Tamandua tetradactyla: one gene and its partners. The main gene of each other region encodes a partner of the protein of the gene in region 3 in a complex. Links are inferred from orthologs where the notes say so. Each region holds a gene or a part of one and is shown on either strand. Other genes may lie near its edges.

Evidence for each region.
Region 1: the proteins of GTF2E2 (region 3) and GTF2E1 are in contact, whole or in part, in a crystal structure (PDB 5GPY), measured with the Homo sapiens proteins. The link is inferred for Tamandua tetradactyla from reciprocal best matches to the Homo sapiens genes GTF2E2 and GTF2E1. Residues at the interface, in NP_002086.1 of Homo sapiens: Asp159, Gln160, Arg161, Gly162, Leu163, Gly164, Gly165, Leu167, Leu190, Val192, Asn193, Arg194, Pro195, Ile200, Phe202, Cys208, Gln209, Phe210, Ser211, Val212, Asp213, Glu215, Phe216, Gln217, Leu219, Trp220, Arg221, Val223, Thr224, Val225; in NP_005504.2 of Homo sapiens: Arg16, Lys19, Tyr20, Val21, Arg23, Gly24, Phe25, Tyr26, Ile28, Glu29, Leu32, Arg39, Leu51, Leu52, Lys53, Phe54, Asp55, Gln58, Gly68, Asp69, Lys70, Phe71, Lys73, Thr98, Asn101, Val102, Val103, Lys104, Tyr105, Lys106.
Region 2: GTF2E2 (region 3) and POLR2G share a complex: the UniProt entries of both Homo sapiens proteins name them as parts of the TBP-based Pol II pre-initiation complex. The link is inferred for Tamandua tetradactyla from reciprocal best matches to the Homo sapiens genes GTF2E2 and POLR2G.

The regions. Positions count from the first base shown.
Region 1 is NC_135336.1:25,107,932-25,113,377, reverse strand, and holds the start of GTF2E1 (general transcription factor IIE subunit 1), read left to right. Parts: upstream 1-1,610; 5' UTR 1,611-1,741; intron 1,742-1,747; exon of another isoform or gene 1,748-2,693; intron 2,694-5,446. Other genes in the region: RABL3 (rab-like protein 3), read right to left, coding at 1,446-1,491.
Region 2 is NC_135335.1:11,826,630-11,832,075, forward strand, and holds the start of POLR2G (DNA-directed RNA polymerase II subunit RPB7), read right to left. Parts: upstream 3,142-5,446; 5' UTR 3,039-3,141; coding exon 3,027-3,038; intron 2,912-3,026; coding exon 2,802-2,911; intron 2,108-2,801; coding exon 1,948-2,107; intron 701-1,947; coding exon 650-700; intron 553-649; coding exon 487-552; intron 382-486; coding exon 310-381; intron 120-309; coding exon 86-119; intron 1-85. UniProt on the Homo sapiens protein: Core component of RNA polymerase II (Pol II), a DNA-dependent RNA polymerase which synthesizes mRNA precursors and many functional non-coding RNAs using the four ribonucleoside triphosphates as substrates.
Region 3 is NC_135352.1:12,981,204-12,986,649, reverse strand, and holds the start of GTF2E2 (transcription initiation factor IIE subunit beta), read right to left. Parts: upstream 3,886-5,446; 5' UTR 3,753-3,885; intron 865-3,752; 5' UTR 861-864; coding exon 695-860; intron 1-694. UniProt on the Homo sapiens protein: Recruits TFIIH to the initiation complex and stimulates the RNA polymerase II C-terminal domain kinase and DNA-dependent ATPase activities of TFIIH. Both TFIIH and TFIIE are required for promoter clearance by RNA polymerase.

The sequences.
Region 1 (5,446 bases), on a different chromosome or scaffold from region 3:
AGATAATTCTACCCCTGTTACGGAATTTGCTGATTCCTCAGCACCTAATGCAGCACCTAATGCAGTGCCTGGTAAGCAGTAGGCACTCAAGCATTTGGGGGGAAGGGAGGGGAGGGAAAGAATAAATCTACTAGTTCCAACAGTATGTAACATGAAAGATTGTTAGATATAATATAAAGGGAAAAATAGGTGAGAGATAACCATGTTCCATAACATGAAGAAGTGCTACCAAGTGCTCTGGATTCCAGGCCTAAATCCGATTTGGTCTCTTGCCAAGTCTCTTGCTCCATACCTTATTTTCTTCATCTGCAAAACTAAGCAATCTGATTAAATTAACTTCAGCACCATTTCAAGCTCCATGACAAGAACTAGAGCTGACATGGTTGGTTTTTGCTCATGGAATTTCATAATACATTTCTTAGGGGCCTATTAAATTAATGCTTTCCGTGAAATACTTCGTAATTCAAAAATCTTCAGACAACGTGAAAACAACTCCCCATCTCCCAATTTGATATAGTTTTTGTAAGCTAGTTTTCAAACTCTCTGAAGTGAGTTCTGTCCACCTCCAAGAATCCAGCACAGTGTCTGCTCAGTGCACACACTCAAGGGTCAATTCAAGAAAAGCACATCCACTAAATTAACATTTATTTCGGGTTCTTAAAGAGTTTGGGATTGGGTATTACTGTGGGGAGAACGTGAGCAAGATATTAAAGGGGGGATGCAGATTTCAACTCTAGTTATCAAAATTTCAAGGTGTCAAAGAAGAATTTTAATACTAGGATTCCGTTGGGCTCAGCATTAATTATTAGCTGCTCCAGAATATGAGTCTTACCTTCATTTCTCTATTTCTCACAACCGTGTGCGTAAGTTTCAATGAAGTTTAAACGAGAAAGAAAATCAAGAAGCTCAAGTGAAAACAAAACAGGACCACCTATTTTATAAAGTTAGGTTTTCAAATGAGAGCGGATTCCGGGGTTCAAACTGGCTTTTCACAATCTCTCGGCCTCACTTTCATCACCTGTAGGGTAACGGCGCCGATTTCAAGATTAAATAAGTTAATATATGTAAAGTGCTTGGAACAGTGCCATTCTTAGCGGACGTTTGACTTCCTTAAAGAACAAAGTCTCTTCAAGGCGCGGTCCTACTAACATCTGTATCCCTAGCTCGGTGCTATCTTCTAAGACAAAAGAACTGATAATACATCTCCGTCTGAGTGAAACGCGGTGAAGGCGGAGCAGGGCCCGGGTTCTGCGCACCTAACCCCCGCGCCGCCGCCGTCTAGTCAATGCAGCAAAGTCCTCTGGGAAGTGTAGTTTTTAGACGTTGGAAAAGACTTCAGCCACGGGCCAAAGAGACAATTAAGCTGGGGGACAAGCAGTAAAGGGAGGATATTATCTGATAACTTAACAATGTCGGGCGCCCCAGAAGCGGGTTGAGCCACTCACCTGAGTCCCCCAACACCAGCACCTTCACACGATCCAAGGAAGCCATCTTGCCACCACCTTCCCGGGGTCAACGTCAGTTATAGGACGCTAGGCCAATTAGAGCCGGCCTGAAGGGCAGAGCCTTCGATTTCATTGGCCGGCCAAAGCGTGACTGCAGGTGAATGTAGGGAGGTGGTTTCCAAGGCTTGTCGCAGGAATAACGCGTTGACGTTGGCGCATAAGTGTCGTAGCTCGTTTAAGCCGGTAGTTGAGGCGCTGAAGGAAGCTGTAGTGGGAGTGTTCGAGCGTTCGCTTCGGTAAACCTTGTTCCCAATTCCTTGTTCCAGGTTCCCTGGCTCGGGGTCGCATTTTAGGCTTTCTCCTCCTTTTCACTCCTCTCTCCTTAACCACCCTCTGCCCTTTACCTACACTTCTAACCTGGACCTCTTTTTGGTCCTTCAAAGAACCATTAACCTCGGAGCAGCCCTTGTGCGACCGCGTTTTGGTTGGGTTTGGCTGCGCTGGGTTTGGTTACTGGTTTCAGCTGGGAGAATCCAAGGGAGTTTGGGGGCTCTGGGTCTCGTAGTGGGGAGGAATGAACATTTTTGGACCGGGCTAGGGAGGGCAGCTGGGTCCGGATGTTTGCCGCGAAACATGGGAAGGCGTGGAGAGTGCTATGAAATATGGTAATTATGAAAACAGCAGTTAGGTTTATAGAATCCAAGAAATTCTAGAACTGGAATACTTTACCGAAGTAACCTAGATTCCTCTCATCCTCTCTTTTTTCCTTTTATACTCCACTTTGCAGGGAGCATAATTTTTTAAAATCGCGAATTTGGTTCTTTCACCTTCTTGTTAAAACCATTTGAAGTTTAATAAAAGGCAACAGCCTTTCTTTTCTGGAAGCAGGAATGGAATAAATGAGTTGGGGAGGAGCAAGAGTGGGCTTGTTGGAAGAACACGTGCCTAGGTTATCTATTGAAAGTTTATGGTAATACTTTACTAACTGTGCTGGATCTGGGAATTCATTGGTAAACAAGATAAAGCCTTTGCTCACAAAATAATGTTTTAAGGGTGGGGAGAGAGATGGAGAAAGTAGAACTCTACTCTAAAGAAAGGAAAAGAGCCATAGGAGCGACTTAAAGAAGATGATTCTAATCTAACAAGAGAAATCTGGGAAGGCCTCTCACAGGAAATGTCATTTGAGATTTGAAGGATAATCAGAAGAAGGAGATTTGGACTTAGCTCTTGGGACAGATTGAATAGCAGGTACAATGACTGAAGTGGGAGAAAACCTGTTTGGCTCATGAAATTGAAAGATTGTCAGTGTGGCTGAGGCTAGGCTGACAAGGGTAAATAGAGGGCAGAGAATGCATTCATTTCAAATTTGTTTCTTTAGCTCTATGCTGGTGAACAGTAGTCCCTAAATGTTTTTGTGATTGGAATACATGTGGGTAAATGGTAGCCCAGCCTGTGTTTGGGTGTTTAGGCTGGTTAGGGATGAGGCTGGCAGGTATTTTGAATAAAAAGAAAAAACTCAGAAGTCACACACTCAGAAGGCCAGCCAAGCTTCTAACCTGTCTAAACGTGCCAACTGCGGTCACCTTCAGGTGCTTATTTGCATGTGGGGATGTGGTCTTTTTTTTTCTCAGATATTTTCAATTTTCAAGAGAAGCTGGAAGTTGAAACGTGTGAAATTTCACAATTTTTAAATGTTGGTAACTACAGAAATTTTTCAAGACTTTTTTTAGGTCAAACAATATGTGTATAGGTTACCACTTGAGACCTCTGTTTTAAGTTACTTTAAATATCCAGAGATTGAGTGGGAGATTCAGCAGGAGTGGGTAAGTAGAAATGGTGGAGTAGGGAAGTCATTGGTCAGAAGAAGAATTTCAGAATACGGAGATTTTGAACACAGTAGCACAGCACTGACTTCTTTCCTGGTTCATTTCTTTTGTACAGCTCTCTGCTGTGCATCTTTCTAGTGGTATTTCCTCAAAGATAAACATCTGAGTGCACACTGCTTCCAAACCTACTTTTCTGGTATTACCTATTTCTCAGATAATATTTATATATCAACCTTAATATAATAGCCGAAGACAAATAGCTATTTTTAAATTTTTCCTACTCTAATACCCCATTTTCAATATATTGTTAGTTCCTTTCAGTTTTGTTTCTGTATTGTTTCATTCATCCTGTCCTTTTCTTGGAATTTTTGGTTTTATTTTTTTTCTCCTCCCATTTTTGTTTTCCTTAGTTTTGACTTGATTGCTGTAGTTGCTAATACTCCCGCATTTTCTCCATTTTCACTCACTATAGACCGTTCCTCATATTGTTGAGTCACTTTTTTCTTTTTATTTATACTTTATTGTTTTTTTTAATTTCTCCCTCATTTTTTAAAGGACAGTTTTGCTGGATATAGAATTCTTGGTTGGCAGTTTTTCTCTTTTAATAATTTAAATATATCATCCCACTGTCTTCTTGCCTCCATGGTTTCTGCTAAGAGATCTGCGCATAGTCTTACTGGGCTTCCCTTGTATGTGATGGATTGCTTTTCTCTTGCTGCTTTCAAGATTCTCTCTTTCTCTTTGACCTCTGACATTCTGATTAGTAAATGTCTTGGAGTATGTCCATTGGATCTATTCTCTTTGGGGTATGCTGCGCTTCTTGGATCTGTAATTTTAAGTCTTTCATAAGAGTTGGGAAATTTTCAGTGATAATTTCCTCCATTAGTTTTTCTCCTCCTTTTCTTTATTGTTTTTTTTAATGCAGTTTTACTGAGATATATTCACACACCATACAATCAAGAGTCACTTTTAAAAATCTTATAAATGGCAGTACTTAGTTGTACTGTATTATGGTGCCAACCCTGAAAGAGAATTTTCCTTGAATTATTTCATTTAATCCATACGTCAACCCTGTGAGGAAGGCACTTTTAATCACTTTTTATATGAGGAAACTGAGTTTGGGAATTTTCCAGGGCATAGGGGTAGGAAGTAGAACTCAAATTCAAAATCCACTATTGTTGGATTACAGAGTGTTTATGTCACATCCATGTTTAAATCTTCAGAGGCCCCTCAAGTGTATCAGGCAAAGAAAACAGGCTGGTAAGTGACACTGGGACTTCCCTATGCAGAACGTGCATCGGAGGGATATATAATAGCCTGGTGCCCAGTTTGTCAGTGGTCAGTGACTTCTGTGTACATTACAGCCGCTTAAAGAGGTTTTAAAATTAGTGTGGTGCTTGACTTGGCCCTCCAAACCAGCTGAAAACAGAGTCTCTGGGAATGAGGTTGAGGGTTCTTATTATTTATTCTCCAGATGATTCTGTTTTATAGCCAGGATTGAGAACTGCTGGTCTGGAGCACAGAGTGTATTATGTATGTGTGAGGGTAGGGTAGGGGGTGAAGGTGACAGTGGAGAATCACTAGTAGGAAATAACTGAAAATTAGGTTAGAGGAAGATCATGGATTAGGCTAAGGTCTTTATTCTGTAGGTAATAGGGAGCATTATGGTGTGTGCAGATGGATGGTCTTTGGGAGATGCCCAGATATGTGTTTTAGGAAACTAGCAGCAGTGTGAAAGAAGGACTGGAGGAGGGGAAGGGGTAGGGACAGGGGCATGTAATAGATGAGATTTTATTTAGGACAAAGTGGAAAAGGTGTGATTGCAGAGGCAGTTGGGCTTCAGCAGATTATATTTGGGACGGTAAGGGGGAAGATAGCTGAACAACCAAGAGTACTGGAAATAGAGAGAGACTGTTTACTTAAATGTAGGGTGACCATATTCCCAAATTTCCTGGAGCAAGGACTGTTGTGGATAGATTTCCTGCTGTTAATTATTTTTAGCAACCCCATCCATTCTCAAGTGCCCCAGTTTGGACAATAAATTTTATATCCTCATCTTAAATGGATTTTGAGGTTGAAAATGACAGCTGTTATTTCTTTAGCAAAGTAGTCTTTAGAGACATATTGAGCACAATCAGTTTTTGATTACACATGCTAATGTGTAGTAGCAAGTTG
Region 2 (5,446 bases), on a different chromosome or scaffold from region 3:
TAGCCCACTATCCACGCTGCCCCCACCCAGCCCTTCTGCAGGCAGCAGCCCTGACAGGCATGGCCAGCCACGGCCAGCCACTTACCCAGGTAATCGTCCATCAGGGAGCCGATAGCAAACTGCAGGAGGGAAGGTAAAAAGGAAATGAAGCCAAGCAGGCACAGGCCATCCTCCGCCTCCCAGCCCCAGGTCTTCTGCCCACCCAGCCCCTCCTCCTGGAAGAAGAGCACAGAGATTCTGGAATTCTGGGTGGTGAGAAATCAGCAGCTCCCAGTTCTGCCTGGGCAGGGAAGCAGGCAAGAGACTCACGATGTCATTTTTGTCCACACGGGTCCCCACAATCTTCAGGCGGATCTCATCGTCCTGCTGGATCACAATGTCCTGGGGAGAAGCGATCGGTGGTACTCAGAACTGCCAGCCCAGTGCCCCTGGCTCAGAGTGGCTCATTCCGTCCTCCCTCACACTGACCTCCTCGTGCCCACTCACCTCATCCATTGTCTTATAGCACGGTGGGTTAGAGTTAGGATCAAACTCCATCTCTGATGGGATGGACTAAAAAGAAAGAGACCGGATCCATGCTTTGCATGGACGCTTAAGTAGATGGCCACAAGTGGGTGGCTCAGCCCCACCCTGCAAGCCCTAAACTTACATGTCGAGAGATGAAGCAGGACATGGGCCCAATTTCTGTGAAGAGTCCCACCTAGAAGGAAAATGAATGCTCTTGCTTTACCTCCTGCTCCCCAAAGTCTTCTAAGCTGCTCATTTTATCCGAGTATTAATAATATTCTTCATGTTTTTTAATCACTCTTGTTTACAACTTTTTTTTCCCCTTTCTCCTTTTTATTTTAAATCCTTTCATTTTAAATTAAGCAAATACAGCACAGCAGTCAAATTAGGCCTGGAATCTGAACACCAACACTGCCAACTGCTGGCCACATGATGCTGGTCAGTAAACTTAACTTTTCTAAGCCTCAGCTTCTATAAAAAGTGATAAAAGATCCCACCTGCCAGTCACTGTTAGGCCATGTACATTACCTGGCCCACAGCAACCCCTCAATCAACACTAACTACTATTGTTATAACTATTAAAACAGACGCCCAGGGGTGAGAAACTTCCTGCAATGTGGGACAGAAATGGAATGAGCTGAGACTCAGCATTAAGGGATTGAGAAAACCTTCTCGACCAAAAGGGAAAGAGTGAAATGAGACAAATTAAGTATCAATGGCTGAGAGATTCCAAATAGAGTCAAGAGGTTATCCTGGAGGTTATTCTTACGCATTAAGTAGATATCACCTTGTTAGTCAAGATACAGTGGAGAGGCCGGAGGGAACTGCCTGAAAATGTAGAGCTGTGTTTCAGTAGCCATGTTTCTTGAAGATGATTGTATAATGATATAGCTGTCACAACGTGACTGTGTGATTGTGAAAACCTTGTGTATGATGCTCCTTTTGTCCACCTTATCAACAGATGAATAAAACATATGGAATAAAGATGAATAATAGGGGGAACAAATGTTAAAATAAATTTAGAGTGAAATGCTGGTGATCGGTGACGGGGAGGGATGGGGGGTAATGGTATGTATGAATTTTTTTCTGTTTTTTTTATTTCTTTTTTCTGAATAGATGCAAATGTTCCAAGAAATGATCATGACGATGAATATGCAACTATGTGACAATATTGTGAATTACTGATTATACATGTAGAACGGAATGATAAAAAAATTATGAACATTTGCATTTGTTTGGTGTTTTTTGGTATTTAAAAAAAAATTCAAAAATAATAAAAAAATAGATTCAGGTGTTAATGTTTCATTTAACACAGGGAGGAAACTGCAGCGCAAAGTTGTGACTTGCCCAAGGACACAGAATTAGTAAATGGAATCAATCACAACCCAACCTAGACCTTGGAAGGACCAGCCCACTGCCTTCCCCAAAACATGACCTCACCTTGTTGACCTGGGTGACAACGGCATCGACGACTTCCCCTTTGAAGGGCCGGAAAACAATGGCCTTATACTTAACTGGGTAAAGGACAAAGCCTCGGCCTGGCTGGATTACACCAGCCCCTATGTTGTCGATGGTGGTGACGGCAATTACAAAGCCATACCTGCGAGGAGAATGAGAAAGAGAAAGGTGCTGTTTGCAGAAGGCCCTCTAAAGCCACAGCTGGGGGATAAAAGGGGGGACACAAAGGGAAAGTAGGCAGCACTCCTGTCTTCAGAGCGGTTAATGACCAATAAAGAAGACACGACACACGTCGGTAACAATTCTCCATAGTGCCAAATGCTGTGCTCAGAATCCCAAAACATATGTCCAAGGTTGCAGCCCTTGAGTTAAAAGACCTCAAACTTTGGGATCCCTCAGATTCCTCTGGGAGGAATTTGTTAAAATGCAGACTCCCAGAGACCTGATTCTGCACGGCTGAGATGAGACTCAGGAACCTGCATTTCAAGAAACGCTTCAGATTATTCTGAAATTGGAGGCCCGAGTACTCCATTGTCCTGGCGTTAAACCCTAATTCTTTCACGTCATCTCTGAGAGGCCTCTCTGCAGGGCCTTCTTTCCTTCCCCAAACTCTCTTTCAGGTCAAGCTGAAAAATCTGTTAAATGAATGACCAATCTCAGCTGAGCAAGGTAAGTCCAGTTGTCCAGCTTTGCAGAGGGCACTTCGCAGAAACCCAAACCAGGGGGGCAACTGACTGCCTGGGGTGCCCGGGAAGATGACAGGGCTTCCGAGAATGGGTGACAAGCCCTCGCAGGATGAGAAGTTGGGGAGGGGGCTGCAGGCAGAGGGCACTCACTTCCCGGTACAAGTCCCCTCCACCTCGGTGAAGAGCTTCTGCTTCACCGTGTTGAGCAGATTGGGGCCGAAGTAGCGCGGGTGCAGCAGGATCTCATGCTCCAAGGAGATCTGCAGGGGCAAGTGGAGTGGAGATCTGGCAAAGCGCCGTGGGGAGACGGGGTGAGAGGCTGCCCCTAGCCCCTCCAATCCGCCAGGCCCTCGCCTCCACCCACGCGGCGCTCACGTGGTAGAACATCTTCTCGGAGGAGATTTGACTGCAGGTACCTCACCTACGGAGGTAGCGGCACTTCTACTTCCGCCGGAAATACCCGTAGCCGCCCCAACCCGGCTTCCGGGCAGACGTCGGCGGCGGGGGTGGGACTCCGCCCCCTCCGCGAACCCGATTGGGCTTCGTTGTTTGGGAGGGGCAGGTCAGGGAACCACGAAGCCCCGCCCTCTGGCCCGCCCACCAGCCGTCAAACCTTCAGGACAAGCATAAATTGACAGTGCCTGGCGGATGATACATGCTCAGTTAATGCCTCGAAACGGAACTACTTAGTTAATGAAAGACGACCCAAGTAGGGCGTTTAGCAGAATGCTTTCATTCAGCAAGCAATTTGAAGACTGCTTTCACAGAGCATAGTAAGTAGCTGTTACTTCAGTTAATTCACACAGCATCCCCATGAGGCAGGTTTTATTATAATTCCTATTTACAGATGTGGTCGCAGGCTCAGAGTCACAGGGGGACCGGGAATCCATTTCAGGAACGCTGGATTCCAAGACGCCTTTACATTCAGGCTTTCCAAATATTCATTCGCTTGTCCCTTCAACAAACCACTTATTGAGTGCTCACTTTGAGCCAGGCGCTGGGGGTGTACAAATGGAGCATCCAGAGTCAGGGTCCAGAGGGGCGCGCTCCCTCCCACGGCGAGGAGAACCGGGTCCCTACAGCTCCCGGTGCACACAAAGATCCCTAGAGAACTGTCGAGACTTGTCAGTTCCTTCAATTCTGCCCACACTTTTGTAGATGGCGTCTTTATTAAACCCACATCAATGAGCCAGAGTGAGTGTGCAATCTGTTTCCTGCTGAGATTCTGACTGATAAAAAAGCCAGAAAGAGAAAAGCAGAAACACGATGAGCCTCAGAACTATGGAAAAGGTTCAGCAAGAGCAGCTTTGGTTCTAGAGCCAGAGGAATCCACGTAGCCTTGAAAAACCCCACGGTCGTTTAAGTGTATGTTGTAAGTAGAAGACCCTGATCTACCCTTCTGCAAAAACAGAGACCTCGCACTTCCTTGGAGTTGTCATAATATGGAAGACACACCAATCCCCTTTGATGCTGTCCATCTGCTAGATGGTTGAGGCTCCCTGTCAGTTGCTCAGATTCCATGGGAATTCTCTCTCCCCCCCATCAGGAAAAGCAGACCAGTGTGCCTCAACAGCCCTGACTCCCTCACTTCTTTTTCAGGCCAGCCTGCCCCAAAGGATAACCTTACTTGCTGTGCTTGTTTGAAAAGATGTATGTACCCTAGAAAAGCCATGTTTTAATCGTAATCCCCTTTTGTAAAGGTAGCCATTTCTTCTAATCCCTATTCAGTACTGTATGTTTGAAACTGTAATTAGATCATCTCCCTAGAGATATGACTCAATCAGGAGTGGATTACGTGGAAACGTGTCTCCACCCATTTGGGGGGTCTTGATTAGTTTATGGGAATCTTATAAAAAAGGAAACATTTTGGAGAAAGCTGGAGATTCGGAGAGAGCAGAGAATTCTGCAGCACCACGAAGCAGAGAGTCCACCAGCCAGTGCTTTGGAGATGAAGAAGAAAAACGCCTCCCGGGGAGCTTTATGAAATAGGAAGCCAGGAGAGGAGCTAGCAGATGACACCATGCTCACCTTGTGCCCTCCCAGCCAAAAAACCGTGACTGTGTTCACCATGTGCCTTCTCACTTGAGAAAGAAACCCTGAACTTCATTGGCCTTCTTGAACCAAGGTATCTTTCCCTGGATGCCTTTGATTGGACATTTCTATAGACTTGTTTTAATTGGAACAGTTTCTTGGCCTTAGAACTGTAAACTAGCAACTTATTAAATTCCACTAAGCCATTCTGTTTCTGGTACATTGCATTCCAGCAGCTAGCAAACTAGAACAGCATTCACCACCACAATTAATATGAGAACATTCTCATTTATTAAAAAAAAAAAATCCCATATCGCTTAAGCCCTCCCATTATTGATGCTTAGCTTTGGTATTAGTGTCTTTGTTACCAATTAATGAAAGAAGATTACCATATTACTATCAACTATAGTCCATAGATCATATTAATTGTAATTTTTACCATATGCCACCCTGTTATTAACACCTTGTAATACTAACGTTTGTTATAGTTCATGTAAAAACATTCTTATATTTGTACCGTTAACCACAGTCATTGTCTATTACAGGTTTCACTTTATTATGTAGTCCCATGCTTTATCCTCTAGCTTTCCTTCTAGTGACATGTATGACCCTGGCCTTCCCCTTTTAACTATCCTCACACTCAGCATTGTTACACTTTCAGTATTGTGCTGCCATCACATAGTATTGTGCTATCCATTTCTGAACATTTACAATCAACCTAACTAAACATTCTGAACACGTTAAGCATCATCTGCCCATTCTCT
Region 3 (5,446 bases):
TAGGAGATGATGCCATGTTTGCCATGTGCCTTTCCAGATGAGAGAGATACCCTGACTGTGTTTGCCATGTGCCTTCTCACTTGAGAGAGAAATCCTAAACTTCATTGGCCTTCTTGAACCAAGGTATCTTTCCCTGGATGGATGTCTTAGATTGGACATTTCTACAGACTTATTTTAATTGGGACACTTTTTCAGCCTTAGAACTATAAACTAGCAACTCATTAAATTCCACTTTTAAAAAGCCATTCTGTTCCTGGTATATTGTATTCCGGCAGCTAGCAAACTAGAACACCAAGAATTATGGGCAAATCACCAGAAGCTAGGAAGCATTCTCCCATATAGGTTTCAGAGGGAGTATGGCCCTGCCGACACATTGATTTTGGACTTTTAGCCTTCAGAATTGTGAGACAATAAATTTCTATTGTTTTAAACCTCCTAGTCTGTGATACTTTGTTACAGCGGCCATAGCAAACTAAGAAAGGAGTGACTACAAATGGGCAGAAGGGAGCTTTTTGGGGTGGTGGAAATGTTCCAAAATTGGATTGCAGTAATGGTTGCACAGCTCCGTGACTTTATTAAACTACTGACTTGTGCACTTAAAATGGGGAAGTTTATGGCATATAAATTATACCTCAGTAATAATTTCCTGAAAAAAAAAAAAACTAAACAGTCCTAAACAGCCAATTTAACTAACCAGAATTCTGTTTAGAGCCTGATGACCCTCCATGTTCTAGCTTTGCTTTCTTCTTCTTCGATGATGATGATGATGACTCAGAAGTTACTGAACGTTTCTCTACTACAGGAGTGGAAAGAGCTCGTTTTTTGAACAGCTCCCTTTCTCTCAACAGGCTGGGATCCATGCTGCTGAAAAGACAAAAATAAATATCTTCAATACACACAAACATCACTCAAACCCATCTGCCAAATACATAGCTCTCAACAAGAGTTACAACTCAAAATCACCTTTTATAAGTTCTCTAACAATTGTCGTATTTACTCACTCATTTATTCATCCAACACATATTTAATTAGTGCCTATTATGTGCCAAGGACTGTGCTAGGGAGTGAAAAAAGAAGTAAAATTATTCTTTTAAACTCTACAGCTGTGCTGTCCAGTATGGTAGTAGTCATTAACCACACGTACCAATTGAGAACCTGAAATGTAGCTAGACCAAATTGAGATATATTCTAAGTGTAAAACACACACCAGATTTCAAAGAAAATATAACAATCACCTAAATACTTTACATTGATTATGTGTTAAAACGATATTTTAGATATACTGGGTTAAATAGAATATTAAAATTCATTTCACCTGTTTCTTTTAACATTGCACTAGAAAACAACATCAGGACTTTGCAGAAAAAATCAGGAAGTAGATTTAGGCCCATTGCAAACAAAAACAAAAGAGAGAGAAAGGGTAATCTCAAGTGCTTATATATGAAACTATGTACCTTAAAAACTGATGAACTCTCAATTAACTAGTGATGAAGAGGCTAGATGAGTATCTGTTAGAAATATCTACAGAAAATTCCTGATTTGGGAGGCTTGGACTAAATTAGCCCCTCAGGGATTTTTCTCAATTCTAAAATTCGACAAGTCTAAAAACTTTAGCTAAACCAGGAAGCTACAGATCAATAAACAAGAATTTACAAAAACATTCTTCTCTTGTCTGAAATCTTCATAGATGCCTGCAGAGGATCTAGAAAGAGCTCAAGCTATGTGAATGAGTATGACATTGTTAAGATTAGTATTCATAATTCAGTAAGATCCTGGAGAAAAAGGATTCCATCTCAAACACTGAAAGGTTTTAAGCACAAGGTAGCTCAATAAATATTTAAGTGAATAACAAATTTTAAAAATCATTAAATTGCTCTAGCCTTAGGATTACTGGTCTCAACAAGATGTTTTATTAAACATCTTCTGTTTGTGAGGCATTGTGCTCCAAAGTTTTAAAAGGTCTGGAAGATAAATCCTTGCCCTCAAGCAGCTTACATTTGAGAACACAAAGGTAAACAAGCATGGTGCATAAAAAGCAATAAATAAATAAAATGTGATTCGGAGTATTAAAAACACAAGTGTCGATAAGCAACAGAGTTAAGCAAAAAGTGGTTAAGTAAAAAGTGAAGTCACTGGGCCCAAAGTCAAAGGCCAGCCCTCTTGTCTCAGTTTCAGTTCCCAGAGTCGCATGGCCCTAAGCAATCCCCTAGACCTCTCTAAATCCAATTTTACCATAAGTAAAAGGAGGATACTTTCAGCACTATTTATGTTTGGCCCAATTATAAGGACAAAATGAAAAAATGTTTTTGAATGCAATTTTTAAAAACTTCAAGCTCCATGCTATATACATAAAGGTCATCACTACAGTATTACTATTTGAATTGGATCTGGAAATAAATAACAGAATGGCTATACTGGGGCAAGGCAGGGAGGAGAATATTTTGGGAAGAGGGAAAGTGTCAGTATGAGAATAAGGAATGAGAATTCACAAGTGACATGGTAGGGGCAACAAGCAGATCGTAATCTCCTAAAACAGGAAGCATTTGTATTTCAATTTTTATTGTTCATTTCACCTACAAACATAATAAATCTGAGCTTTTAATAACGATTTTGACACAAGTTTAAATAAAGCCTTACTGTTCACAAAGACCTAAAGGCTTACTGTCTTTGATCCTCACAACTCTATGAAATAATAAAGCATCAGGTTTATTTCTCCTTTAATATGTGAAATCTGAAGTGAAGAGGTACAGCAAAGGCGACACAGCTGGAAAAAAAGGGCTAGGACCCGAATCTCCTGACTCCTGGTTAAGTGCTCTTTACACCAGACCTGGAAAGCAGGTCAAGGCCTCCAAACAAAGGCGACCTGGGTGGCACCTTCTCGATCTCTTTCTTTCACCACTGCATGCTCTTCCTAACTTTTCTCCACTTCTTCCCTTTTCTCGGATTACAAAAACATTTCCATTGAGGTTTACATCTCGATCAGACTGGACACATCCCCACCCACATGTTTACATTTAAAAAAAACCACGATGACCACCCCACAGGTTCCGTTTGCTGTTGTATTCTTCCACGGATGAACATCGAGAAGCCAAAAACTAAACCAAAATCTTCTGGCTCCAAAGCACAGGTCCTCTCCACTACACCATCCGACCTCTTTCAACCTTTCTACTCTTCTGTTTTGCTGCTTCCCCCGACTAAACCTCGAGGGTGCCACTGACACCCAAGCACCCTGCTACGAACAGCCGGCGGGCTGAGAGGAAGCTGCTTCCCTCCCAGACGACAGAAATGTAGAGGTGCGCGGAAAGGCATCGCAGCTTTTCTGCTTTACAAAAAAGTCTTTAGCCTTTGCACAAAACTATGAGAATTAAACTTGAAAAGTCAGTACCAACTAGGTCTCCAAAAGCCAGCCTAAGAAATAGTCCGTGGACGAGTATGTGTCTAAATCACAGCCTTTATTTGTCTGGATACCAAAGTTCGCTTAAATGCTTCTGGTGTAAACTTGAAGGCACTCAAAGGAACAAATCAGCCGTCCGATTGCGAATTTCCCTCTTTCCAACCCAAAAGTTTGCTAAATGTACGCTCCGGCCTAAAGGACAATGCTCCCACGGAATCGTTACAGTGTTTAGAGGAGTTTCGAACAGAGGACGGCACCCCAGCCTCCCGGGGAGGTGGAACACACTCCCGCCCCCCTCAGTCCCGAGGAACCACAGGCTGGGGGTCCGCGCCCCACTGCCGGCCGCCAGAGCCCCTACCTGAGCCAGGAGGGCCGCCCCACGCGACCCGCCGCTGCCTCTCGGGCACCTCCGCCCCGGCCAGCCGCCCACACCGGCGCGGCCGCCCCTTCCTGCTCCTCGTCAGCGCCCCCGCCTGCCCGCGCGCGCACCCAGCGCTGACCCGCTCGCCGGGGTCTCGGCACTGGCGGCGGCGGCTGAGGCGGCGACGCGACCCGGGGCTCCGCCCGCCACTTCCTGATCGGGCTGCTAGGAGCAGAGTCCCAGCAACCACCGCGGCGCCGGCGCTGCCGAGAACGCGCGTGCGCATTCGCGAGCCAGGCCACAGGTACCTGGGGCGGGGACTCAGCCTTTCTCGGGCGTTCAGATCTCCATGACAACGGGAGGGTGGCTGGTAGTGGGACTGAGAACCAGACTTGGGGCCGGCGCGGGATGGGGCCGCACAAAGGAATATGGAAGAAATATATTTCCTTTGCAGAGATTTAAGGCTACTGTGACTTTACCTCAAATGCCAGTCCTCAGCACCTGAACCTCTGAGTACATTGTCCCAGCCGTTTCTTTTTAAAGTGAAGCTAAATGATTTGCTCAAGACGGCACAGCTAGCAAAGACAGCTCCTGAAGTGGAGGATTTGTCCCAGTCTCTGAACTCCCAACCAGGGTTTTTTCCACTACAACTCTGAACTCTGTGGGAAAGCATTTCGGATTTTGCAGGCAACATAAAGGAGTGGACATAAAGCAAGGGAAAAGATCCTCGGCCTTGCCCTCATGGTGCAATGTGCTGGAGATCAGACTTCCTGGGGCTGTCCTTTCCTCTCTCTTATAACCTACAGTTGCAGCCAAGACGATGCTTAACCACTCTCGTTGTTTAATTACTTAGTACTGGTTACTCCTCAAATAACTTAACCTGTGTCTAGGTTAAGTTATTGGGAAAATAATAACTTATTTGGGAAAATTAACACAATGGGTTATTTACATTGTGTGAAGATTTAATTAGATAATACATGACACATGTTGGTCAAAACTCGAAACTAAAGCCAAAATGTGTGCTCTTTTAATTAGTTTCATCCTAGAGCATTTTCTAATAAACCTGCTTTATGGTTATCACACGCCCTCAGGAAATGTAACTTTATGTAACAATTGATTAGGACCCAGATTTTTTTTTAACTTTTTTTATTAATTAAAAAAAAGTAACAAATAAAACATTTAAATATCATTCCATTCTACATATACAATCAGTAATTCTTAATATCATCACATAGTTGCATATTCATCATTTCTTAGTACATTTGCATCGATTTAGAAAAAGAAATAAAAAGACAACAGAAAAAGAAATAAAATGATAATAGAGAAAAAAAAACTATACGTACCATACCCCTTACCCCTGGCTTTCATTTACCACTATTGCAAACTGAATTTATTTTAACATTTGTTCCCCCTATTATTTATTTTTATTCCATATGTTCTGCTCTTCTGTTGATATAGTAGCTAAAAGGAGCATCAGAATAAGGTTTTCACATTCACAGAGTCTCATTGTGAAAGCTATATCATTGTTCAATCATCATCAAGAACATGGCTACTGGAAGGGCACGTGGCAAACACATCATCCAGGGAGATGATCTGATTACAGTTTTAAACATACAGTATTGAATAGGGATTATTCTACCTTTATGAAATGGGATTTTGATTAAAACATGGCTTTTCTAGGGGGCATACAT